Mus musculus: one gene and its partners. The protein of the gene in region 1 purifies or fractionates together with the protein of each later gene. This does not show direct contact. Links are inferred from orthologs where the notes say so. Each region holds a gene or a part of one and is shown on either strand. Other genes may lie near its edges. The genes, in order: Gna13, Arhgef1, Arhgef11 and Arhgef12.

Region 1 (4,152 bases):
CGCGGGTATCAAATGCCATCAACTTGTCTCCATGGAGCTGGTTTTTGTTATCTCCCCAGGGAATATGAAGCTTCTCTCGGGCATCTACCAGCACCCTCATACCTTTGTTTAAAAAGAGAAAAACCGTGTGAGGAAGAGTCATGAAGATACCATCAGAGGCTTTGGCCCCAGGGTTACTCAGTATTGGTTCCTTAATTTTTAGCTATTACAGAAGCCCCACTTCCAAAATGGGAGACCAGAATCAAAACAAAACCTTTATCTTCTCAGAGGTTTGAGAAACAAGTGTTCACTGTCTCAAAACCAGAAGCCTTGAAAAGTTAATATTAATAACAAAAACCACTTTGGGGAGGATTCTAATATGCTACGATTCATAAAAATCCTTTCTGGTGTAGACGGCAGTCAAAACCGGAGACAGAAAAAATAAATAGTGCTGCCTAGGCTGGTGCCAGGCTAAAGACGGCCCGGCCCGAGCTAAGGACAGCTGACTGTGCTGTGTGCAGTCCGGGTCCTCCAGGTTCCTACCAACACTGTCTTCTAGGACGCACTTAACCTCAAGGCTTCCTCAGACCAAGTTTCTCTTTTAATCAGTGCAGTCACACACTGGCTTTAGTCACCTAAAAGGAAAACCAACTGCACAAAGACCCAAGACCGCCCATGAGGCTTCCACTTACACAGGTCAGCTCAAACTCCTGTCTCTAAAACTGTTACTTCTGTCATCATCGGGAAGTCATTTCTTTGGATACAAGAAAAAATTGTTATGCTTTCACTTTTCTGACCATGCCAACAAAAGAAAATAAGATGCCTCCCTAGACTTCAACCTGATCACACAATCATGTTCAAAGGGACTCTTAGGCCCAGTGTGTGTAGAAAAGCAGGTGATTTGCCTCGCTCACAAGTGACTACTTGAGTCTGTTCATTCTTTAAGTTCATCTGTATCAGGATACAAAGGTACCTTCAATTAAGGGCTGGCAAGGTACAGTTTACAGTCTTCCAGGAGACTTTAATTAGTTCTGTGCTGAGCATTAAGGCAGACTGAACACAGCCATCCTTTTCAGCTTTACTGCAAAGGTACAAGGGTAAGGGCAAGACATGGACTGTGAGCTCCTGGCCTCGCCCTCTCCCCTCTCTGCCTGGCAAAGCATCTTCTCTAGTCTTTCCCTACTTGAAACACTGAAGGGGGTGGGGGGAACGGACCCATGAGGGAGTTTGCTTATGTTCTTCTTGAACAACAAAAAATATGCTTAAAAAAAAGTCACACAACTCCTTGAAAAGACCTACAAAATTAAAGTTTGCTTCCAAGCCCTAGATTTAATAGGGTGACTCCTTAACCACTCAGAAATCTGTTTTCTGATGTGCTGCTGTGCCTCAACTCTGCCAACTTCTCTTAGGTAGAAAATACCTGACACTAAAGAAAAAAAAATTAAAAAAAACAAGATGATTCTTTTAAATGATAAAAATAAAAGCCACCTCTGCAACTTATTTGAACACTAAGGAATAAAAATATTGGGTGGTTTTCACTTAAGGAACAGTATTTAAAATACTGTTCAACAGGATTTGTGAAGCCCACCATGCAGTCCAGCACATGTATTTAAACATAAATTCATGAAAGCATTAGAAATGATATGAAATGATACTGTTTTTTTCTCCTGTCTCGAGTTATTAAGAAAAAAAAAAGTGTGCAACATGTTGAACTGTGATTACAAACATCCTGTAGCAATGAGCCGATAAAACCACTCGCGCTAATTTTTTTTAATAGACTTTCCTGATGCCAGTTCAGTAAACGTGAGTTTCATACTCTTGCCCCAAAAGGCTCTAGAGGCTGTCACTCTATGCCCTTGACAAGAGTCTCAGGGTAAAAAAAAAAAAAAAAAAAAAAAAAAAGTTTCCTCATTACAACCGTTCCAGAACTTGCTTAAGTCAAGAGGTGGCCTAGGAAGCCCAAAGCTGGAAGGGTAACATACCCGGTTACTAGGGTCACCCACCAGGGACGGGCAGAAAGGAAAGAAGGATAGGAAGGGATAGGGAGTGTAGGACCTGGGGCTACTGATGGGTGGTCTTGCCCGGAGTGCAGGGAGGACACAAGTTGCCCCGCTGCCCCGAGTCACCCTACTCGCCGCACTTCCCTCTTGGAGGGGGCGAGGCCAGCCGCGGAGTGCTGGGCCGACCGTGACCCTCACCGGGGTAGCACGGGGGGGACAGCGGGGCGTCCCGGATCGAAGGGACCAGGGCAACAGGGCGCACAGAACGGTGCCCAAGGCGCGCCCACCCGCTCGCCCGTCCGATCTGATCCCGTTCGGTCTCCTCCGACTGGGGACCCGGCGGATGAGGGCGGTGCCCGGCCCGGCTCCCCAGGGGTCCCCGAGCCCCGCCGCGCCCCGCACCTTTGATCACGTTGCTGTAGATGGTGGGGCGGAACTCCTCGCGCGCGCGCTGGTCGAAGTCCTGGCCGTGGATGATCCGCATCTGCTTCAGGAAGGTGGACTTGCCGCTCTCGCCCGCGCCCAGCAGCAGGATCTTCACCAGCCGCTTCACGTAGGTCTTCTCCCGCGACAGGCATTTGTCGATCTCCTTGGACTTGCGCTGCTGCTCGGCCTCGCCGTTCGTCAGCACGCAGCCCGGGAAGCACACGGACAGCACGGAGCGCGACGGCAGGAAGTCCGCCATCTTGCCGCCGCCGCCGCCTCGGCGGGCCCCTGCGGCTCCTCCACCTCCTCCTCCGGCAGCGGGCGGCTCCGGCAAGGCGGCTGGAGGGCGGGGAGCGCAGCGGCGGCCCGAGCGCGCCCGGGGAGGGAGGGAACCCGAGGACTGACTCGCCAGGGCGGGCCGCGCCGGCCGGGGGAGGGTGGGAGGGAGGGAGGGAGGGAGGGAGGGCGGGCCCGGGGAGGGGCGGCGGCCCTCTGGGCGTGCGCGTGCCCGCTGCCTTTCGGGTACGCGCACGCAGGCACGCCGAGCGGAGGAGGGAGCGGCAGCGGCGGGAGTCACGCGCTCCTGTGCAGCCGGGAGCGCGCTCGGAGAGCGGCGGAGCCCGGGTCACGTGGGCCAGGCTGGGCGCGCGCGCCTGCGGATCCAGAGTTTCTGTTTCCCTTTAGTGCCACCGCTTCCCGGAGCCCCGAGGCGAGTAAGCAAAGCCCATCCTGACCCCTTTCCGCTGGGGCATCTTTCTCACTACAGATCCCACTGCCCTTTCCCATAGTTACTCGCCCGCCGCTTGCTGTCACCTTCACGCGACCTATTTTGAGACCATTGGCTGGGACATCCCCGCACCCGACCAGTGCAAGCCTTCCTTCGTTACAGTTTGCCTTGTTTTGTTTTGTTTTGTTTTAACTCTTGAGACAAGATCCCTGCGGCCCAAGTTGGCTTAAATTTGTGACAATCGTCTTGCTTCAGCCTCCCTGTCCGTTTCTGGTATTACCGGCAGGCAAGAGCTTTCCTTCAAGATCGTGCGTTTAATTAGCAGCGACCCTTCCCCGCCCCCTTGTCATCCTAACCATCCCGAATCTGGAAGGATAAGTAGATGTCAGATGTCGTTATTGATCAACACCTCACCCTAGCAGCTCAGGGCACTATTGATAACCTGCCCTGGTTTGAGGGGAAGTTGGAGTTGATGTTCTCGTGAGATGTGCCAGGAAGGTCGCTGGCGGCTGGCTCACTCATTAGATTCCCATCCGAGCTGCACTTGTGACTTGGGTAATGCCTTCTGAGGTCAGTGAATGGTGGAGAGGGTGAGGTCATGTTGAAAATCCCCCTAAACCGGACACTCTGATGCACGTTCTTCCCAAGGAAGCAGATAAGCGCTCAGCCTAGGACTGCAGCAGGCACATTTTGGGTTTCCTGCCGGATTACAGAGGATATGACAGACAAGAAACTTTTTTTTTTCTGTCATACCAGCAGATCAGGCCAGAACACCTGAAAAAGAGACTCCTGGGGAACACGTGACTAGTGACAGCTGAATGACTGTAGCAAGGACCTCAGAAGCCAACTTCTTCATTCTTGTCAGTTTCAAAGTTGATGCCTGTCTGGTTTTGCTCCTGGGACCTGACTCGTGTGCAACTTGGGAACTTCCTGTGTGTTAGGGAGTTGGGGTAAAGAGGTCAACACCGTGACATGCACAAGTTTAAAATTTTAAAAACCAGCACTATAAGTCAGTCCATC
Region 2 (4,120 bases), on another chromosome or scaffold:
TCACGCTTAAATCTTTATTAACTCCCCCCCCCAAGAAAAGAGAAGCCAAGGGAGGTACGAAATTTTAACAAATTGTCACCAGAAGACCCTGACTCTCTTGTTCACAGTTCACATGCATTGCCTCCACACTCCCCATCACAGTAATAAGGAACAATGGCTGACACTCACGTGTTCTCAGTATGTGTCAGACACAGCAAAGACAGCACACACAGGCTTAGTTTCTATGCAGGGTTCAGGGTCTGTCTACAGATGTTAATGAATTTAATCCTCTTACTGACCCAATGAGGCCAGCATTATTTTGGTTTGTTTTAGGAGAGGAGGGTGTCACTATTATTCTTATTGCTGATTTACAGGAGGGGGAAATTGAGGCATGGCTTATGAGAGTCAGAGCCAGGATTCAGGTTCAGGCAGTCTGGTTCCACAGTTTAAACATTCAGCACACAACACTGCTACACACACACACACACACACACACACACACACACTTTGACCTTGGAATACTAAAATGTGCATCTATTCTGAGATACATCAGGTCTGATGGTGCCTGGAAAGGTCATGTGGCTGCCGTGACTTCTGCAGACACCCAGGATGGACCCAGCAGCTCCAGAAACCTGGGCTCAAAGAGGATTTGAAAAGTAGACATAGGTAAAGCTGGCAAAATGAAGCAACTGACAAAGTCCACTACTGTCCGGCAGAGGGAGCATTTTGCACTTGAGGCTCTGGAGGTGGGGTGGACAGGGGAAGTCAGGGCAGGTTTAGGTCTATGCAGTGTGTGTGTGTGTGTGTGTGTGTGTGTGTGTGTGTGTGTATGTGTGTGTGTGTGTGTGGGGGGGTCCTGAAGAAGTAAACACATAAAGGCGCCTGGGTCCTAAGGGCTCACATTCAACAAGCCTTTGGACTGGATTATTTAGGTCTCCAAGAACTTCTGGGAGCCTTGAAAAAAACTACGAGGGCCCTGGAATGTATACAACCCCACATTCTATTTGACATATAGTGGGCCTCAAGAATCCAGAGAGATGGTGATTCTAAAGGGAAAACTAATGGTTTATGGGACCTCGATAGTGGTGTGTGGTGGGTTCTGTAGGGCCCTGCCTTGATCTATGAGAAGCCTATGCTTATGTTAAAAGCCAGGTCTCCGTGAAAGGCTTCCTGAAACCTGGAAGGTATGTGAGCTCTTATTGACCTATGTAACGTGGCGGGTCTTCACGAGCCCTAAATCTTACGTGGGACGTGGCTGATCTACAACAGGCGCTCACTAATTCTGCAGCGGTGGTGGTGTGGGTGGCAGGGAAGACGTGTGGGGTCAGGTTTCACGGCAACCAAGGGCTGCCTATCTCACCTGTCGGATGGGAAGAGAAGCAAGCCACTGCAGCCTCAGGAACCGAAGCCTCCGCGCTCGAGCTCCAGGTTCCCCCACCCGTGCCGCAGAGTCGCTCTAGCCGAGCCAGAGGCCGCCTTTGCGTCCAGCTCCACTCCTCCCTCCGGCCGCTCTAGCCCGCCTCCTACCGCTCTCCGGCCTCGGCAACTCCACTCCTCCTGCCGGCGGGTATCGCAATACACGGCGCCACGCTGGCCCGATAGGGCCGCTCTGGTCTGCCTTGGAGGACCCTTGTTTCCGTATTTCGACTGCCCCTGTCACTCTCCTGGGCCCCGCCCCCTTAGCAGGAGTGGTGCATGGTTCCATTGCCTGGTTAGGGCTCAATCTCGGAGAAACTTCAAGTCGCTCAGGTCCTAAGCACCTATCGGGACCTCACATGAGCTCTACCTCCCCAACTCGGACCTATTAAATTCCAAATGCTTGTATACCCTCTGTCACCACTGTCAACTCCTCCCGCTGTAATTGGAAAGAAAAAACAAAACAAAAACAGAACCCCCTCACATAGATAGACACACACACACACACACACACACACACACACACACAAACAAAAGCATAAAACACTCATGCGCTCGAGCATATATTTTCTTCTGATAGACTAACCTGCAAAATGCAATGACTTCCCTTTAGGCCTCAGTCTTCCCATCTGTTCAATGAGGATATGTTTCCGGTTCTCTCCCCTACAGCCATCTCCCAGAGTATAATTAATACCACAGAGAGGGTAAGGAAAAAAGCTTTCTGAGACGTGTTTAACGCTCTGTAAGTCTCGGCTTTAAAATGTACTGCAGAGATATTTGTTTATTTTAGGGAGCTCTAATCAAGCATCCATGATCGCAGGGACAGCTCTTTACAGGAAACAGCTTTGAGTTCAAGTCCCAGATGCTCTGTCCCTACGACAAGGCAGTCCGACTCCCTGGGCCTCAGTTTCCCTGCTGATAAATGAGTGTTATCGTTCTTCGCTGGGAGCCTGGATCTCTACCTACTTGTGCTCTCGACAAGTGCTCTCTCTCTCTCTCTCTCTCTCTCTCTGTTTTGTTTTGTTTTTTTTTTTTTTTTTCTTTTGAGGCAGGTTCATGCTAGGTCGCCCAAGCTAACCTCGAACTCATGGCAATCCTCCTGTCTCTGCTTCCCAACTCCTGGGATGACAGGCGGGCGCCAACGCGCCGGGTTTTCTCTTTGCTCTCTTTGACAGATGAGAAAACCGAGGCCAGAGAAAGGCGGCTGCAGGTTCACTGGGCGCACCCTGGGAGGCCCTCCGCGCCCGGTCCCCTCCCTGCTCCTCCCTGCGGCGGCTGGAGGAGGAGGCCGGGCGGGGCCAGGGACAGTGTACCTGGTGTCCGCGCGGGGAGGTGACCGGCGAGGCGCCCGAGGTCGGGCTCGGGGATCCCGGGCCCGGTGTCCCGACTCCGGCTTCCTGGCTCTGGCGGGCAGGAAGTCGGGGCGTTTTTCCGGAGCCCCCGCCCGCCGCCCCTCCCCGCTTCCTGCCCGCGCCCCGTGCCCGCCCGGCACCTCGGCTTCCTTCCCCTTCTCGCCGCCCGCGCGGCTCCTCCTTTCCCCGCGGGCGCGTCCCCACCCGGCCCCGCCCGGCTCCCCTTCGCCTTTGTCCGCCTCCGCCGCCCTCCCTGCTGTTGCCCAGCTCCTGCCCTGGCCCTTACTCTCTCTTTCTCTTAGTTTGCGACAAGGGCTCCCTATGTAGCCCTGGCTGGCCTCGAACTTGTTGTGTAAGGCGGGCTGGATTCGAACTCAGGTGTCTCTGCTTCTGGAGTAGAGAGATTAAAGCTAAAGGTGCGCGCCACCACCCTGATCTCTTTTTCGAAGCTCGAAGGCCTTCCTGCCCACAAGGTCAGGGGCCCATCCAGGCACTCCTTGCTTTCTGGCCTCTGTTGCTTCTCCCTGCTGCAGCTCCTCTGTGCCTTGATCACGCTGGGCCCATTTCTTGCTGTTGGCTGTCTCTCTCATGCTCTGAGATTTCAGGCTTTGTCCTTTCCTCAACTGTTATTATCAGGCCAGCCAGTTTGTGTCTGCTTCTTCCTTTGGCTATTTATCTCTGCATCCTTGTCTCTGGGGATCCCACTGAGTCTCCTCTTGGCCTCCTGTCTTTTAACAACCTGAGTCTGCTCTTCCCATCCCAATGACTGTCACACCACTCTAGCTCTCTCTGTCATCCCCCTCCCCCCGGTTCTTGACAGAAACTCTCCAAATCTGCCTTATGCAAGTGAACCCATGAGGGAATTAGGCCCCACTCCAGAAAATAATATCTTGTGTTCTCAGAGTTTAAATATAGGTAAAAATTTGGTAACACCCGGGCTGGTTCCCCCTTGCTTTGGGACATGAGGAGGGTGAGGCCCTATAAGGGAGATAAACCAGCATTTCAATTGGGGTGGGGACTTCCCCAAGAGACTTCCTGTTATTTTGGGGGGAGGGGGTTGGGGAAGACAGACAGCAAGAACTGTCTGGTCCCAGATCTCAGAAGTGGTCAGGTGAGAACTTGAACCTAGAATCCTGGGTCTGAGGGGGGAGGGGACTTGGGTTTTCTGCTCCTGGTTCCCTGGCAGTGTTGAGGAGCAGTCTACATGAGATCCATGACTCCTGCCAAGGGCTGCTTTGGGAAGGATTTATTATCACTTAAGTGGCCATGACAGATCTGGGAGGAGGGGGGGTGACACTAACGAGGCTGCTGTAATCAGCTCCCCTAGAGGCAGCGATTAAGGGCTCATTACCCACTAGAGAGGGAGCTGGACT
Region 3 (3,054 bases), on another chromosome or scaffold:
AAATCATGGACATCCAGAGCAGGGCTGCCTCTGCTGAGGGTTCTGGAGAGCCCATGCCAACCTCCAGGGAATCTCCAACCAAGGTAACTCTCCCTCATCTCTAGCCCCTCCTCTACCTTCCAGAGCTCCAGCCCCGGCTGGCAAGTGGCTCTGGGGATCTCTCCGGCTGCTCTGAGTCTCAGTCACTGTGTTAAGGTGCACCATGGCTTTTCCAGTTATGTCCCAGGTCCTCTAAGGCATGGCTCAGCTGCCATGGCTCTTCCTGGTCTGTGGGAAGGAGGGCAGTGTGGTAACCCTCTTCATGGTTTGCATCTGAGAGTAGGTCACAGCAGCCCTGTTCCTTCGTGTGACGTAACCACAATGTCCTTTTCTGGGCCAGAGCCAGTTGTCCAACCTCTGCTGAGAAGGTCTACACACCGGCACTTTGGGACAGGTGGAAAGACCTGGTGCAGGATGGCTGTGGCAGGGGCTTTCTTGTCTCCCTCTACCCATTTTTGACCGGTCACACCGGCAGCCTCACACCCTCTATCAGGCTAAGAATCATACAACCACAATGGAAGAATATTTAACTTTTCTTTAAAAAAATCTTAACCATGAAAGGAAGAAAATAAGAGTATACATTATTTTAACAGTAAAACAGTCATTTCCATATCTATATTTTATATATTATATATATTTATATATATGTATATATACACCTAGCACAGTGTGTATGTTCATTGTAGGGAGTGGCGTGAGGACAGGGTGATGAGCCAACGGTGCTGTGGCCCCTGGGGAAGGAAGGGCCCTGACTTAACTCAGGGACTCCAGCAATCCACTCCACATCTCTCTTGAGAGTCTGTGTTGAGATCCGTACCTGGTGTATTGTTTCTATGGGGCAAGTGGGGAAGGGCTGGGTAAGACACTCCCTGCAGGAGCATTTCCTGACACTGAGAAGGCCTAGGCTTCAGAGGTGGGCAGGCCCTGGAGCTTGACAGCACTGGAATCTGGGAGACCTCCCTGCCAGTGGGACATAAACAATCATGGCCCTGTGCGGGGCTGCTGCCTGGCTCTCTGTGACTGGTTGAACATGCCAGGGACAGAATAAAAGGCTAAGTTATTTACAATGGCAAAGATACACATACAATAGACATATTTATAGGAAACTAAAGGGCAAAGAGGAGAGCCAGGCATCTAGCTGTCTCGGGGCCTAGGAAGAAGAGGAGGAAGAAAGTGCATTTATACATAAGCCTCCTCAAGGGCACTGTGCACATAGCACACCCCACACTGGCTATGTGGGGTGGAGGCCTTTCTATTGTGGTCAGCATGCTTAGGAGACGAAAGCCACGGAGACTTGGGCTAACAGGAGGAAGAGACACTAAACTGGACTGTCTGGTGGGAACAGACCAGGCAACATGAGGGATTCCCAGGCCTCACAGTATCTTTCACGGGGAGGCTCGGATCTCCTAATGTGGCGCTCTGGCTCAGGCCAGACTCTGGTTGTCTGGATGGCTATGGTCCTGGTGACGAAGCTGTGTCTGTGGCACTGTCTTCCAGGGGGGTGTCGGAGCCTGTGGGAAGATGGTGAGGGTGAGACGCTGGCTACATTTGAGAGGTTCTCTTTCATGTCCCTGGCTGATTCTTGAGTGCCAGCTGTGACAAAGCTTATATGTAATAGAGTGTGTGGAAGCTAGACAACTTGTTGGAGTCGGTTCTCTCCTTCCATGTGAATCCTGGGGCTCGAACTCAGATGGTCAGGCTTGGTGAGCCATCTTGTCAGTCCAAGCCTTGTTTCCTGTGGGACTGCATTTCTTTCCAGGCGCCAAAACCAAGACAGGTTAGGCGTTTTAGCTTTCTGAATTCGGTCCTTGCCCTTATAACCCAGGTCTGAGCCACTAAGAACCTGCTGCAGAGGTAAGGCGGCTTTCCTGGTACATTACTTCCTCAAACCAACATAAATAGAAGGTTCTGGGGGCTGAGAGATGGCTCAGTGGTTAAGAATACTTTCTACTCTCCCAGAGCGCCCAGGTTCAATTCCCATCACCCACATGGCAGCTCACAACCACCTATAACTCCAGTTTCAGTCCTCTTCTGGCATCCTTTGGTACTGCATGTATGTGATATACAGACTTACATGCAGGCAAGAGGTTCTGTACTACTAGTCCCTATTTGGGGGGGAGTCTCTGTGTAGCTTGCCTATAAAGATCACTTTCTGGGGCTGGAGAGAGTTCAATGGATAATCAGAACACCTAGAAACAGGACACAGGAGAACAAACTGGTGGGTGGGCCGGCCAGCCTGGCTCATCTAGCGGTGAACATAGATGCTGCCTCAGGGTGGAAGGCAAGAACGGACAACTGAAGTTGTTCTCTGACAGACTCCCCCCTCCCGGCCTGGAACTATATACCTCCAACTCACAGAAATTCAGCTGCATCTGTTTCCTGGGTGTTGGGATTAAAGGCACAGCACTGTGCCTGGCAAACTTTCTCTGTGAAGCTGAGGGAATGTGCTTGCTCTTTCTTAGGGAAGAGTCATGGGAGCACGGCCCACTACCTGCTCACACTTACTCCTGGTTCACAGCATTCCCTCAGGCAGCACATGCAGGGGTTGGCTTCACTCACCTTCTTCAGGGTAGGACCCCTGCTCCTGATTGTTTTGGGGGTCAGAGGTCAGGGCTTCCTTGGCTGGAGGAGAGAGGGAGTAGTCTGTCCATCTGGCTGCCTCTGTGTGAAAACTTCCCACAGGAGTGGTTCCACCAGACGACTCTCCTCCAAGGGAGTTGAGCAGCTCTCTGTGGGCCAGCTCCATGTCCTACAAGAGTTGAAGGAGGTGTCTTCCCTGTGCTAAGGCTCAGAGGGTGCGGGAGGGTACGCAGGGTAGCATAGGACTCCAGTTGAAGAGATATACTTCCTGAGTTGGGGATGGAGCTTAATGTTTGTCTAGCTTGTGTGAGGCCCTCGTCTCAAATTTCTATCAGTTTCCCTCTCGGGGAACTGTCCCGGGTACTGGATGGACGGCTTCCTGCCCCAAGGCTGCACCCCTCACCTTGAGTCTGTGAAGCTTGACGGTCAGTTGCT
Region 4 (3,563 bases), on another chromosome or scaffold:
AATGTCACTATCCAGACAGGGAGTGGCAAGCCATCCCAGGGGAGTGGTAGTGGGACATGGAGTTTTAGGGCTGGAATTAAGGTGCTTGAGAAAGGGGGAGGGGTTTTAGACCTGAGCTCTTTATTGGAAAAGCAGAGGGTCAGCCTGTGGTGGAATCAGGAAGTTGCAGTTATTTAAAATCTTCTTTATTGTGCATTCTCCTGAGGTGACAGACTTAGTGATGTCTGATAGCTTGATGGCTTGGTCCTAGAGCTGACATCACCTGCAGAAGTTTGTCATAAGACTAGCCCCAGGGTTAGTTTTAACATCCTAAAGGAGCAATGCTGCTAGTAAGGTAATCTAAACAAACAAATCTAATGAATACTTACTTTGGAACTTCCATATACTACTCCCAAATCATTGCCTTCACCATTTAGGACAATTGTTAGGAAAAATGCCTATAAATATAGAGTCTGCTCTTGAGAAGAAGAGCATTTGCTGGCCTAGCTGAAACAGATGAGATGCTTGCTGTCAAGTGTATTTAGGACTTCTAATTCAAAGTGCCTCCCTATTCAAAGTGCATAACTCTTGTCAGTGTATTTTAATGTTTAGTGTAGAAGACATATTTTTATTGCATGCTTCAAGACAGAAATGATTGTGTAGGATTAATATTTTGGTTATATATTATTATGTCCTTAGTTTTAGAGGGGATTGAAAACTCAGCTGTCAGATTTTGCCTGGCAGTGAGACTGTGGTAATCAGTTTAACCCTCTGTTCTCTTCTTCTTGCCCTAAATCTCCAGTGGGCTTGTTGAAGCAGTTGCTGGTACAGCAGTTAGGTCTCACCGAGAAGAGTACTCAGGAAGACTGGCAGTCCTTCTCACGATACGGGCCAGCTTCTGAAGAGGTACAGGCAGACAGTGGCATCCGGGACTTGGAAAATGTTAAGGCTTGTCATGCCAGGGAAGGACAGATGTCTTTTAAAACTGGAACTGGTGATATTGCAACTTGTGACAGTCCACGGACTTCAACTGAGTCTTGTGCTGCACAGGATTCAGTGATACTGGCATCCCAAGACAGCCAGGCAAGTAACGTTTTAGTAATGGACCACATGATCCTGACCCCAGAGATGCCTCCTGCAGAGCCAGAAGGGGGTCTGGATGAGAGTGGAGAGCACTTTTTTGATGCCCGTGAAGCACATAGTGATGATAATCCATCAGAAGGTGATGGAGCAGTTAAAAAGGAAGAGAAGGATGTTAATTTACGCATCTCAGGCAAGTGGCTTTCACATTTCAACTTTGATTGTGATTATTATAAACTGTCTTATATGCTGGAATGGATGTTGTTTCAGTATCTAAGGTGTGTGTGTGTGTGCGCGCACGCTTATTTCTTTATACAACAAATAGTCTGTTCTTTGCCATCTTTGCCAGAAATTGGCAAAGGGGCTGGGAGATTGGACAGTGAAAAATGACAGAAACTTCATTGTTCCTAAGAAGCTTAAGTGCCCAAAGGGAGAGAGTAAAGGTAAATCCAAAGCAAGTGATAAACATCAGGTGGTCAGAAGCATTAGAAACAAACAAGGCCAGCTACAGCCCGGGCAGAGAGTACTGAGAGCAGACGTGGTGATGGGAAAGGCCACGTGGATACAGTGTTCAGCAGCAAGCACTGGCAGAGTCTGCTTCTGTAGTCAGGGGGAGTGCGGGGTGGGAGAAAGCAGCAGGAGCCCAGGAAAGGGTGTGTGGAGGTGAGTGATACTCCGCTTGTCATGTAAGGACTTTGTAGCTAAGGTGTTAAACTCATGAAAGTTTGCTAAGGTTGACTTTAATCCAAAGTAAATTCTGGTAGAGTTAAAACTGAACTTGGGAGTTGGGGGTTCCTCCACCAGGGTAGGTTTTCAAGTTGTCCTTATGACCTCATTCTGGTGGCAGTGCTAATCTCATCACACTGTCCTGTTACCAATAGGAAACTGTTTGATCCTTGATGGCTATGATGCAGTTCAGGAGAGCTCCACAGATGAGGAGGTTGCCTCCTCGTTCCCCCTGCAGCCTGTGACGGGCATCCCCGCTGTGGACTCCAGCCACCAGCAGCAACATTCCCCTCAGAATGTGCATCCCGAGGGGCCGGTTTCACCATTCACCCCAGAATTCCTGGTCCAGCGGCACTGGCGAGCTATGGAGGATACCTGTTTTGAGATCCAGAGTCCCTCATGTACAGATTCACAAAGCCAAATCCTGGAGTACATTCATAAAATAGAGGCTGACCTGGAACACTTAAAGGTATGTCCCATTTCAGCCTCCGTAGCACTTGGTCCTAAGAACACAGCTGGCAGAGTGCAAGTTTGGAATGATGGAATCCTGATGTCCAAAGATGGTCCAGGTTCTGTGTCTGCCATTTTTATTGTCTTTAACCATTAATCATGAGTAGGCCTGGATCAGAGCTGGTGTTGACATGGTTTGTCTTTTGACACATTATAAGAACAAGAAAACTGTAGGTCTGTAGCTAATTACCTGTTTTTTGGGCTTCTAAGTTTTAAGACCCTAAATACTGGGTCAGTTGGTTTCCATCATGCTGGATGATGCGGGCGGTAGGTGGGCTTTCGTGGCTGTCAATCACAGCCAGGAATAGCTGTGAGCTGCTGTATCCTGGCAGTTACATGTGCCTCATAAATAGTGTTGGTAGTTTCTCGGAGGCCATGTCAGTTACAAATTGACTCCAGTGGCTTCTGTTACAAAAACCCATGAGCCCAAATGGAGGTAGTGAAAGACGTTACTGTGCTGGTTTTTTATGAAAGAGACTCTATTTTATTTTAAAATTGAGAATAAATTATTTCATACAATATCTTCTGATCATGGTTCCCCTTCTCCCAATTTCTCCCAGATCCTTCTCACCTTGCCACCTAGTCAGCTCCGTGGCCTTTCTCTCTTTACTAACGTGCAGGCAAATTAAAAAAGACAAACCAACCAGAGTGAAATCAAACAATAACAACAAAAAAGAAAAAGCATGAGAAACACACGCGCACACACACACACACACACAAGGGACAGTAAGGTAAGAGCATCGGCCCTGGTGACACAGCTGCTGGAGCTCACACTTGCCCATGACATCATTTAGGTGGGACACGTAGTGTCGACGGAAGTCCATTAGCTCAGGGCTCATCTCCCTTAACTTTTTTTTCTGCTCCATGTAATAGGTTTTCTTCTTTAATCTCATGTATGTCACTATGTGGCCAGCAAGGCAGGCTATCTAGGAGGCCTCTGTGTTCATGTGTCATGTGACCTTCCCTGGGTGACATCTGCCATGGGCAGGTTACCTTTACTTCCTTCCCCTTGCATAGAGAGGTAGGTTACTCATTCAGAAGAAATTGGCGTCCTCCTAGCTAACAGCATCTTTAGTGGTCACTGTTAATGTTAAAATTGGGGGCCATGTGCTTTCACCCCTATTGTCAACTAAATGTTATTTTTTTTGTGTGTGTGCCATCCCATGAAGAAGGTGGAGGAAAGTTACGCTCTTCTTTGCCAAAGGCTGGCTGGCTCAGCCCTCCCCGACAAGCTCTCAGGTATGTGAAGTGGTGGGCTTATTCTGACT

The links.
Region 2: the proteins of Gna13 (region 1) and Arhgef1 purify together in Homo sapiens (affinity purification with western blotting; 5 studies listed by BioGRID and IntAct, with this or other methods). This does not show direct contact. The link is inferred for Mus musculus from reciprocal best matches to the Homo sapiens genes GNA13 and ARHGEF1.
Region 3: the proteins of Gna13 (region 1) and Arhgef11 purify together in Homo sapiens (affinity purification with western blotting; 3 studies listed by BioGRID). This does not show direct contact. The link is inferred for Mus musculus from reciprocal best matches to the Homo sapiens genes GNA13 and ARHGEF11.
Region 4: the proteins of Gna13 (region 1) and Arhgef12 purify together in Homo sapiens (affinity purification with western blotting; 3 studies listed by BioGRID). This does not show direct contact. The link is inferred for Mus musculus from reciprocal best matches to the Homo sapiens genes GNA13 and ARHGEF12.

What each region holds. Positions count from the first base shown.
Region 1 is NC_000077.6:109,361,486-109,365,637, reverse strand, and holds the start of Gna13 (guanine nucleotide-binding protein subunit alpha-13), read right to left. Parts: upstream 2,845-4,152; 5' UTR 2,665-2,844; coding exon 2,382-2,664; exon of another isoform or gene 1,984-2,381; intron 103-1,983; coding exon 1-102. UniProt on the Homo sapiens protein: Guanine nucleotide-binding proteins (G proteins) are involved as modulators or transducers in various transmembrane signaling systems.
Region 2 is NC_000073.6:24,901,717-24,905,836, reverse strand, and holds the start of Arhgef1 (rho guanine nucleotide exchange factor 1), read right to left. Parts: upstream 2,852-4,120; 5' UTR 2,709-2,851; intron 2,404-2,708; exon of another isoform or gene 1,982-2,403; intron 1,870-1,981; exon of another isoform or gene 1,340-1,869; intron 1-1,339. UniProt on the Homo sapiens protein: Seems to play a role in the regulation of RhoA GTPase by guanine nucleotide-binding alpha-12 (GNA12) and alpha-13 (GNA13) subunits. Acts as a GTPase-activating protein (GAP) for GNA12 and GNA13, and as guanine nucleotide exchange factor (GEF) for RhoA GTPase.
Region 3 is NC_000069.6:87,735,540-87,738,593, reverse strand, and holds the end of Arhgef11 (rho guanine nucleotide exchange factor 11), read right to left. Parts: coding exon 3,023-3,054; intron 2,789-3,022; coding exon 2,599-2,788; intron 1,672-2,598; exon of another isoform or gene 1,551-1,671; coding exon 1,492-1,550; 3' UTR 555-1,491; downstream 1-554. UniProt on the Homo sapiens protein: May play a role in the regulation of RhoA GTPase by guanine nucleotide-binding alpha-12 (GNA12) and alpha-13 (GNA13). Acts as guanine nucleotide exchange factor (GEF) for RhoA GTPase and may act as GTPase-activating protein (GAP) for GNA12 and GNA13.
Region 4 is NC_000075.6:42,969,684-42,973,246, reverse strand, and holds part of Arhgef12 (rho guanine nucleotide exchange factor 12), read left to right. Parts: intron 1-781; coding exon 782-1,252; intron 1,253-1,940; coding exon 1,941-2,254; intron 2,255-3,464; coding exon 3,465-3,534; intron 3,535-3,563. UniProt on the Homo sapiens protein: May play a role in the regulation of RhoA GTPase by guanine nucleotide-binding alpha-12 (GNA12) and alpha-13 (GNA13). Acts as guanine nucleotide exchange factor (GEF) for RhoA GTPase and may act as GTPase-activating protein (GAP) for GNA12 and GNA13.